Saccharomyces cerevisiae S288C: one gene and its partners. Changing the gene in region 1 together with any one later gene gives a genetic interaction. Each region holds a gene or a part of one and is shown in the gene's direction. Other genes may lie near its edges.

Region 1 (3,763 bases):
TTCGAGAACAATTTGGAGACAGTTTTAGCATCGATGAAGGAATAGGAAAAAAAGAAAATGTAAAGAATGGTAGCGTCACCATAGGCAAGAGTAAAGCCACGATCGATTTCTCCACCATGAAGCTGATTGATTGTAATTCGAACCCACTAAAGGGAAGAGTGGAGAGCATACTAAGCATTGGCCAGAAATTAACAACTCCATTGTGCTGAACGTCATTACTTACCTTTTTATTTTCTTGTATGTGCTTTCATCTGAATTATTGGTGGATTATGTAACAAGTTGTTGAGTTTTCCCCATATAACTACTTCGCCAAGGAAATGGTAGGTGCGGGGGCGGAGAACGCAAACCAGCGTATCTATGGCTAAATAAGGAAGAAGCAACAACACTGTTGTAATTATGAGGCATACATAGACACAGATTCGTACATTATTTCCATAATACGTAGGAATATTACTCAAGGACAAGCGGATTTCAACCTTAAAAGGTGAGGAGTAGCTGCATGAGCATCGGTGACGGTGATTTCACCTTACTTTTTCGGAATACGAATGTACACAAGCGGCACAATAAAGTTTAACCAATCTTGTTTTACGTAGCTATTTTTATTACTCTTAGTTTTGTGTGTATCTGCAATGCTACGAAGCGCCTCCGTAAACACCAATAATCGGTGCTGGAGTACTCTTATCACAAAAAGCCCGAGCACGCACCATGTAATTTCCGAGATCTGTTACGCAAACAAAGGAAAGGCGGGAGTACCACAGCAGTGTCAAGGTCTATTGACGCACCCCGCAGGAAACGGCTTACGTAAGCTCCGTCATACAAAATGCGTAGAGACCATGCATTCTCCACACATCGTATTGAGCGAGTAGTGGGATGTGGTGGCTTCTTCTCGGTCCGAAAACTATATTTCTTCCGCGGAAAGACGCGCTGCTCCAAAGCGGCGACAAACCTCTTTTTTTTGCCCCTTCTTATGAATGCAGCAAATGAAGAGCGTCCTCGTCCGTAAGTGAGATGGCGTGGCGTGGATCTGCAGGCTGGTAACAGCCAAGCTAAAAGAACACCAGACAGACAATCAAGGAGGACGCGGCGAAAAAAATACTCACTGGGTTATGGGCGGTTATCTGCAGCAGAGTGGGGCAGTGGCCTAAAAAACATCAGGGGGTGAATCAACGTACGTCAAATCAACAGAAAACTACTGCTAAAAGAAACGAATACAACCCGAATCAACAGTTTTTCTCTATTTGTCGCAGTCTTTCCTCTCTAATTTTACTTTTTTTTTTTTTTTTTTTCTTTGATATCTTAGATTCCCTTCCCTCCCTATCTTTTTTTTTTTCTCGCAATCTGGGGAAAGCTTTTCTCATGCTTATACGTGATTTGTTATATAAGGGATTGCTATTTCAGGCATCATTCACCTCCTTTTGTATCCTTAGTTTCACTGCATTTGATATATATATATACGTATCTGTAGTTTCCTTCCATTACATAACGCATAATATACTATTTCCATAGTCTATCTTACATCTTTTTTCTTACTTTTGTTAAGGAACGGATAACGATAAAACAAAAAGAGAGATTTAAGATTACTTCTGTAACTTTTTTGATCCATTACCAAAACTATATTTTTTTTCTTTTCTCTCCTCTGGCATTAAACACAGTTATTGCTACAGCTAATCATCGATATAATAATACATCACATTAACTGTCTATAAGAGGCTGGTACTTAGTAGATGGTGAGAATTTTTTATTTTTGTATTTTAACTTCATTTTTGTAAACAAGTTGGAACTGGAACTTACTATAGAACAAGAGCTTAAACCATGGTAATACAAACTGCTACTACGTTATCGCCAGCTAAGGCGAGACCTTCTTTCCCTCATAACGATTTGATTAAAAGTATGTCAGACAGCCTTATAAGTCGCCCCACTCACCCTCCGATTAGGAAATTAAAGTCATCCTTGAAAATATCACACCCTGAACCTATTTCAAGATCAAAGTCAGAAATTTTCTGCACATCACCTGAGAAAAATGTACGTTTTGCTATTGAATTAACAACTGTTAAGAGATTTGATAAAAACGCGGAGCCAAGTTCTATCTCAAATGAAAACTCACCCACATTATCCCCTGTTGATAGCAATACCGCTGCTGATGACGTCCAGCTTTTCAACAATGAGGACTGCTGGTTCAATGATTCTTCGTTGGTCACAAACTTGCTGAAAAATGAAAAGAAGTTTCGTTATATGAATTCCTTAAACAACATGTTCAAGTTGGACCTTTATGATTCAGAAGATGAGGATGATATTGACGAGCACATCAATAGCCAGGCCGAGTATGGGTATACCTATAATTCTTTATCTACCCGAGGAAAAACTTCTGAAAATAAATCTGCTACCTCTTCACTGGCTACTCAGGCAACAAATATATGTGATTGGAAACTTCACTGCACAGACTTGGTTCCCTTCAAGATAGCCCCTCCACTATTTACCAAAACATTATCGGCCTCCGATTTGCAAGGTCAGCTCACAAAGTACTTAAATGGCCAAAATGTAAAACTGCATTCTCTCACTCAATTAGGCGATGATTCAAGCAAAATTACAGGTCTAGTGTACGTCAAAAACTTGAGTTTTGAAAAGTATTTGGAAATTAAATTTACGTTCAACTCTTGGAGAGATATTCATTACGTTACCGCCAACTTTAATAGAACGATAAATTCGAATGTTGATGAGTTTAAATTTACAATTGATTTGAATAGTTTGAAGTACATTTTACTCATCAAAAGAATCATTACTATGGAAAAGAATACAAGCAGCTGTCCACTCAACATTGAATTATGCTGCAGGTATGACGTTAATAATGAAACATATTATGATAATAATAATGGTAAAAATTATCACCTTTTCATGACTACCTTCAAGAAGGGCGGTGAAACGAAGGAAAAGATTCCAGTTGTCGTCGAGCCTGCTTCTCAAACAGATGCAGCCATGTCGCCGAAGGAAATGAAAGCAAGGTTCGTCTCCTCGAATCCCACTCTTTCAAGGTTTTTACCTCAATCAAGAAAGTTCAGCGAGGATACAGATTACTATAATACATCTCCATTGAAACATCTTTATCATAATGATACGACAAGCTGGGTTAAGCCCAAGAGATTGAACGTTGTTTTAGATAAACTTGAAAATGCTACCCCTCCTCCTCCTTCTTCTGCTTTGGCTAACGACACCGCCAGAACTGGTAAAATAACTAAAGATAAGAACAATGTGCTCGCCCCACCAACGGCCAGTAATAGTATTGACCTACCAATATTAGGATCTCAACATCAATCACTATATTCTGGTTCATCGTCATATTCTTCATCATCTTCCTCCATTTCCTCTTCATTATCCTTTGCTTCTTCAAACAATTCCTCCACAAATTCTTCTTCCGCCTCTTGTAGTTTCCCACTTACTGAGCTCGATAATTTTGATTATGCGAACCTATATGAACCTAATGATACCTTCACAACGGCCAATTTGTTTAATCATTCATTAAATTCCCTAATGCCGGAGATTTCTACTCCATCATTCTTCGGAGGCTTTAGAAATGAGAATACTATTAATAACAACGATAGTAAAAATTTGGTTACCTCTTTGGAGGATTCATATGAGGACAAACAAAGTGTTATTACAGATACTACTATGGACGAAAATAATAAAACTTCGACTATCAACAATTCCACAGACACGTTAATCAAACCCTCAAAAGAAAATGGAACAGTTAAGGAGAATAAATCATCTG
Region 2 (2,835 bases), on another chromosome or scaffold:
ATAACACTACATAAGAAACATAGATAAATTATAATTCACTAATACAAAATCCCTCAATTTAATTAATCAATTTCTTATTCAACAACTAGAGTAGGCACTAGCAGTTTGTGCGACCCTCGGCGCCGGAGAGGTACAAGGGACCTGGCGGTTGGGCCTTCCTGCCAGCTTCTCCCCCCCTTCTCGGCATTCACTCAGCGTTCATTGGCTCAATCACGCGCCAAGCGGATTCCCAGAAAAATACAAAAAAAAGTTGCCATAATACAATGGCGGATATTACAATATATATAGCTTGCGCTTTAAAAAGAAGTGTTAGCACGCATTGGGTGTTTGTACTGTATTCCTCCACTTAAGATAACGAATACACATATAGATATACAATATATTATACGTGGACATCTACGGAAAGGAAGAAAAAAAACAAAAGGAAAAGGAAGGATACCATATACAATGTTGTCAAGAGTAGCTAAACGTGCGTTTTCCTCTACAGTTGCCAACCCTTATAAAGTGACTGTTTTGGGTGCAGGCGGTGGTATTGGACAACCATTGTCTTTGCTTCTAAAGCTTAACCATAAAGTCACGGACTTAAGACTGTACGACCTAAAGGGCGCAAAAGGTGTTGCCACCGATTTGTCTCATATTCCAACAAACTCCGTGGTCAAGGGGTTTACTCCAGAAGAGCCAGACGGATTGAACAACGCTTTAAAGGACACAGACATGGTTTTAATTCCTGCTGGTGTGCCCAGAAAGCCTGGTATGACACGTGATGACTTGTTCGCCATCAACGCAAGCATCGTTCGCGATTTGGCAGCAGCAACCGCCGAATCCGCTCCCAATGCTGCCATTCTGGTCATTTCCAACCCAGTCAATTCTACCGTTCCAATTGTCGCCCAAGTCTTGAAAAACAAGGGTGTTTACAACCCAAAGAAATTGTTCGGTGTGACTACCTTGGACTCTATTAGAGCCGCCAGATTCATCTCAGAAGTCGAGAACACCGATCCAACTCAGGAAAGGGTTAACGTCATCGGTGGACATTCTGGTATTACCATCATCCCATTGATTTCGCAAACAAACCATAAGTTGATGTCTGATGACAAGAGACACGAATTGATTCACAGAATACAGTTTGGTGGTGACGAAGTCGTCAAAGCAAAGAATGGTGCTGGCTCTGCTACGTTGTCAATGGCCCATGCTGGTGCTAAATTCGCTAACGCTGTTTTGTCCGGTTTCAAAGGCGAAAGAGACGTCATCGAGCCTTCCTTCGTGGACTCTCCCTTGTTCAAATCCGAAGGCATCGAATTCTTTGCATCTCCGGTCACTTTGGGCCCAGATGGTATTGAAAAGATCCATCCAATAGGTGAGTTATCTTCAGAAGAAGAAGAAATGCTACAAAAATGTAAAGAAACCTTGAAGAAGAATATCGAAAAGGGTGTCAACTTTGTTGCTAGTAAATAGATTGTTCAAGATCAGAAATAGAGTGAAAAATAGGGAAAAAAAAAAAAAAATTCTACTAATAAGAACGGAAGACTACTCGCCATCATGAGATTACGACATCTTTTTTATTTAATTCTTTGTTATATTTAGCCAATTGAAAGGAAGGAAACTGCCAAAAATCAACTAGAGAAAAATTCATGCTATTCGTTGCTCCTACACCTTTTTTTCTTCCGTAGACGAGGAAAAACAAAAATGATTAAATAGGCGCGCGCGGTGTGATGGTGATGATAATGATGATGATGATGATAATGATGAATAAACGTTTCGGTTTACGAGTTTCTTTAAATATACATATATGATATAAAAAAAAAAATACGTACCACTTACAATTTGCAAATATAGATGATCGAAACTGCCATTTATGGTAAGACAGTGGATGACCAATCTCGATGTGTCCACTGGCATCTTCCAAAGGATGTAATTGCCATCAGGTTTAAATGTTGTGATAAGTACTATGCGTGCTTTGAATGCCACCAAGAGTTAAGTTCTCACCCGCTAGAAAAATATGATCTCCTTGACGATGCAAATAAACACTTGATTATTTGCGGAGTTTGCCGTCATGAAATGACGTTTGCAGAGTATTACGACTACAATTCAAACCTTATTTGTCCCAATTGCAGATCCCCCTTTAATCCAGGCTGTAAATTGCACTACCATTTGTATTTCCAGAACCCTCCCCCCGCTATGTGTTGAGTGTTGTTCTATAAATGCATGCCATCTTAAGCTCTGCTGTGCTCTTCTCGTTAAGGAAAAAATGCGATGGTATATATATAGATATATATATATATATATGTATCTGTATATATATGTTCATACATATATATATATCTATTATTGTTGTTATTATTATCGTGATTATTATTTAGGTCCTCCCTTCTTTTTACCTGTTTTTAATCTACCCTCAAATCCGGCTCTTTTCTTTGGTACGGCACTACCGACATACTTTCTTTTCATCTTTTCTTGCTTATTTCTCTTTTTACCCTTGTTGTCTTTCCTAATCCTCAGATTCTCTTCTCTTCTCTTTTGTCTTTCAGATATCGTGTCTTCCACAACCCTCTTACGTTCGCTCCATTCAATCGCAGACTTTCTCTTTTGTGCTTCCTTTCTCTTTATAGCTTTGCGAAGTAGTTTTTCGTCATCCCTAATCTTAATTCCTTCTGCTTGTAACATAGCCTTTTGCCATTTTTCCTTTTCCTTCTGCTTGATTTGTTCTAGTTCGTCTTTCGCCTCCATCTTATTCTTCTTGGCTTCTAATAACTTTAAGTGTGATTTTACATCATTCTTAGCCGGACCCTTCGTTCTACCAGCTTTTCTTAACCTTTGTAAATCTGAAGTGGCCCTTGC
Region 3 (3,763 bases), on another chromosome or scaffold:
TTGAGATTTGGCGGTACCTGGATCACCTAATAATAGTACATTGATATCACCTCTTAACCTCATACCATCGGGTAATATCTTCTTGGAACCACCCATCAATAAACATACAATGGCTTTTTTTATATCTTCATTACCAAAAATAGAGGGGGCAATAGAGTTGGTCAAAATTTCATAAAGCTTCGGGTTTCTACTTAGCTGTAGAAATTCCTCTTCTTCCTCCTCAGTAAACATAGTTACTGAATTCCAAATAGAGGAGGTTTCTACATCGGACTGAATACCTAATATTTTGATATAAGGTGTTCTAATAGCAACACCACTTCCTCCATTTCCACCCCCGCTCCTTCCGGATCCGGCACCATTTTTAGAATTATAGATGGAATAAATACCTACTATAGTGACTCTCGTACCAGGAATAACTTTGTTTGTTAGGTATCGGTCACAAGTCATTGTTAAGTTTCTAGGCATCTCACCTACTGGAACCAGTTCTGGGATTTCCTGTAATTTTAAAAACTGTTGATCAATAAACTTTGAAGACTCATGGATAATAATATATGGATCAGGTCCACAATTTTTCTTGGTCGATTCATCACCAATATTCGACTCGTTTGCCATAGAAGATTCACTCTCAATCGTAGATAAGCAAGAACGTGGTAAACTGACGGTATTGCCTGTGATAGAATTGAAATTGTTGATTGTTATTGATGTTGTGTGTCTGCAATTTCTGCACATTATAGAAAGGTACGTGGCACGGGAAGATAAAACTGACGTGGATATTATAATACCTGATAAACGGACAATCTTGGAGACGTGTTCAGAATCCAAATCTCTCAATGGAATCTGATTTGCATTGGAGTTTAAAATTAATTGAAATGTTGGTAAAGAGTTCAATAAGAGAGAATCAGTATCCATACTAGTATTTTCTGGATCTTTGTCATTGTTATTAGCAGATTGAGCTCTGCTTAGAATACTTATCCTTTTAGCCACTTGTGTGATCGCGGTTTCGAATAATGGAATGATATCTGAAGGTTCGTCTGATAGTTTCTTATATATGTCTTCGTTATATCCGATCAAATGCTCCATGTTAACCGTTAAAGAATAATTCTTCACAAGGATGTTGTTCCTTAACTGATCTCTGTAAATAAATTGCGAGTCAAGTCTGAACTCCAAAATGAAATTCTTAAAGGACTTTATGATTTCAGTATTATCATCGTCGTTAGGAGATTCTCCTTGTAAAACAGGAGCACTGTATATTTCCGGTCTATCAAATGACATTATCTGGCTTCTAATTCACCAAGGAGATACTCTTAGGTTGTTCTGATAAAACGTTTAATCACGTTAACAAGTATATTCATGTTCTTTCAATAAGTTGAAAAAATTCTTCGAGATTTCGCGAAACTGCAAGTAATCACTTTTCCTAAAAGGGAAACACGCCACACACCGCATAGCAACAAACTAAATGGCTTAACCTGGGAGTGAAGAGGAGGAGAAGAAAATTAAAGGCTGGCATAGGCGGCTTAGAATAAACTGATTTGAATCAATTGTTACGTTTTTGATATTGACAGTTTACTGCTGTTAGTTTGACTGCTCTATTACGCGTTTATTTGTTTTACATCCAGAGATAAGCGGGTAGAATAAAGGGCTCTTATTCACTAAATCTGGGGTAAGCAGTTTGGAATTTAATTGAATTTTTTACTAAGTCTGGAGTATAATCTGACAAATAAAGGCCGTATAATACTTCTATGCTCGTTTCTTTGACGCTTGTTATAAGGTCAATAATTTTACTCTTTGTTTTTACAAATGCCTTACAGCCATGGTAAGAAGCTTAAACCGTCTTTGAAACTCGCAAAAACAATCTCCACTTCTTCTTTTGTTTCCTCAACAACCTCTAATTCATTTTCACCACTAGAAGACTCTACATCTGCATCTTCGTCGACATCATCTTCATCATCAGGGAAATCGGTAAGGTTTGCTGCACATTTATACACAGTCAAAAAGTTCAACACAAAATTGGCGCCTATCTCGATATCAGAAAAAGCCGCTTCAAATCTTACAAGAAATTTGCATAACAATGCCATTCCACTAACGTTCCCCTTCATTGGAGGTGAAGATCATCGTTATAGTTTAGACATTTTAGATTACAGTGATTTAGAATATGACAATAAGGATGTTGAGTATGACAACGAGAGTGACGTAGAGGATAATGCAATGCTTATGCATGATCGTAGCATGTTCATTGAAAAGGAGATTCTCTGCTTTGGTGAAGAGGAGACATTCGATATGGCAGATTGGAAACTGGTCAGTAATAATTTGAATCCATTCAAAAGTGACTATAAAGTGGACGTTACTGGGTTGGAAGACAAGATTTTCAAATACTTAAATGGACAAAATATAAAGGTTCATTCATTAGAACTATCTGATCCTGTAAGCTACGAGGATATTTGTAGCAATAATTTTGGTAACTGTCAAATCTGGGGCCTTATATTTGTCAATAATTTGAACTTCGAGAAAAAAATAGAGATAAAATTTACTTTAAATAACTGGGCAGATATTCACTATATTAATGCACACTACAACAAGTCTGTCACCCCTCATGTTGACGAATTCAAATTTATTATTGATATATCTGCGTTGAAGTTAAATCTAATATCAAAAAACTTGATTTACACTAACTTTTTTGAAAGGAAAACTACTTGTCTCCTGAATTTGCAGTTCTGTTGTCGTTATGATGTAAATGGTTTCGAATATAGATCATTTTACGATAATAATGACTATAAAAACTATGAAATAACGATCTCTTTGTCAGCAATAAATCTAAATCGTGCGGTTTCGAATTCATCGATATTTAATTCCAATCTTGGGCCTTCCAAAATGGGGGCTAGCAATGCAGAGGTTACTATGTCGAAAAATAATGAAAATTCTAAAAAGCCTCTCAGAAAATTCATTAAAGATACAGATTACTACAACGACTCCCCGTTAAAGCACAAATTTTATCAATCGTTTGAAACAAAAGCGGCTTGTAAAACCGAACCTGTATCCCAAACTTTCAAAGCTGAAACAATTGATTGTGAAATTGAACCATTTAATTATTTCTTTGAACCGCCTGATTCCCAAACTAATGAGGACATGTCCGATAGCTCATATGACTTATCGCTACAAGATTTTAACTATTGGGAATTTAGTAACCACGGACTAGGGAAAGCACTGGCTGACTCAGATATCTTACAATTTAAAAATTATCCAAAACCAGAGCCTTTTAGCAGGCCTCCCATAATAGATGACACATTCACATTAAATACCGATGATAGGACCTTAGGTTCAAAAACACAAAAGCTTGAAGATAATTTGGCCAAAGAGTGGAAAAGCGCTAAGACAAGGACCACGTTAAACGAGACGCCATTACACGATGATGAGCATAGAACTTCCTTCACCTACACCACTTGGAATAATTCTACCGATACATTGATGAAAAGAAAAGAGGAGCGACCAGTAGAATCAGCCTCTTGTTCTCAGTTATCCATTGCAACCATAAAGGCGGAAGAAGATTTACTATACCAAGATTATATCAACAGCGGGAGGGAAAGCTCATCTCCGGAAATTTCTCCCTTGAATACCACAACCTCATTACCATTTTTTCCAGGTGATAATATGAGTGACAGCTCAGGAGAATATGAGGAGAGAACCTCTCTTAGCCCTAATAAAATTCACATTTTTCGTGATTATTTTTATAAGTCGCCGTCACCCTAACCATCGCCCATATTACAAT

The links.
Region 2: mutations in GAC1 (region 1) and HOT13 together harm fitness more than expected from each alone (negative genetic interaction), as found in Saccharomyces cerevisiae (one large-scale study listed by BioGRID).
Region 3: of GAC1 (region 1) and PIG1, changing one enhances a phenotype caused by changing the other (phenotypic enhancement), as found in Saccharomyces cerevisiae (one study listed by BioGRID).

Annotation. Positions count from the first base shown.
Region 1 is NC_001147.6:668,291-672,053, reverse strand, and holds the start of GAC1 (protein phosphatase regulator GAC1), read left to right. Parts: upstream 1-1,812; coding exon 1,813-3,763. Other genes in the region: cleavage polyadenylation factor subunit SYC1, read left to right, coding at 1-209. UniProt on the Saccharomyces cerevisiae protein: Regulates the activity of glycogen synthase. It is most probably a regulatory subunit for protein phosphatase type 1.
Region 2 is NC_001143.9:278,676-281,510, forward strand, and holds HOT13 (Hot13p), read left to right. Parts: upstream 1-1,833; coding exon 1,834-2,184; downstream 2,185-2,835. Other genes in the region: malate dehydrogenase MDH1, read left to right, coding at 448-1,452; ribosome biosynthesis protein RRP14, read right to left, coding at 2,350-2,835. UniProt on the Saccharomyces cerevisiae protein: Required for the assembly or recycling of the small Tim proteins in the mitochondrial intermembrane, thereby participating in the import and insertion of multi-pass transmembrane proteins into the mitochondrial inner membrane.
Region 3 is NC_001144.5:689,064-692,826, reverse strand, and holds PIG1 (protein phosphatase regulator PIG1), read left to right. Parts: upstream 1-1,797; coding exon 1,798-3,744; downstream 3,745-3,763. Other genes in the region: MCM DNA helicase complex subunit MCM5, read right to left, coding at 1-1,272. UniProt on the Saccharomyces cerevisiae protein: Regulates the activity of glycogen synthase. It is most probably a regulatory subunit for protein phosphatase type 1.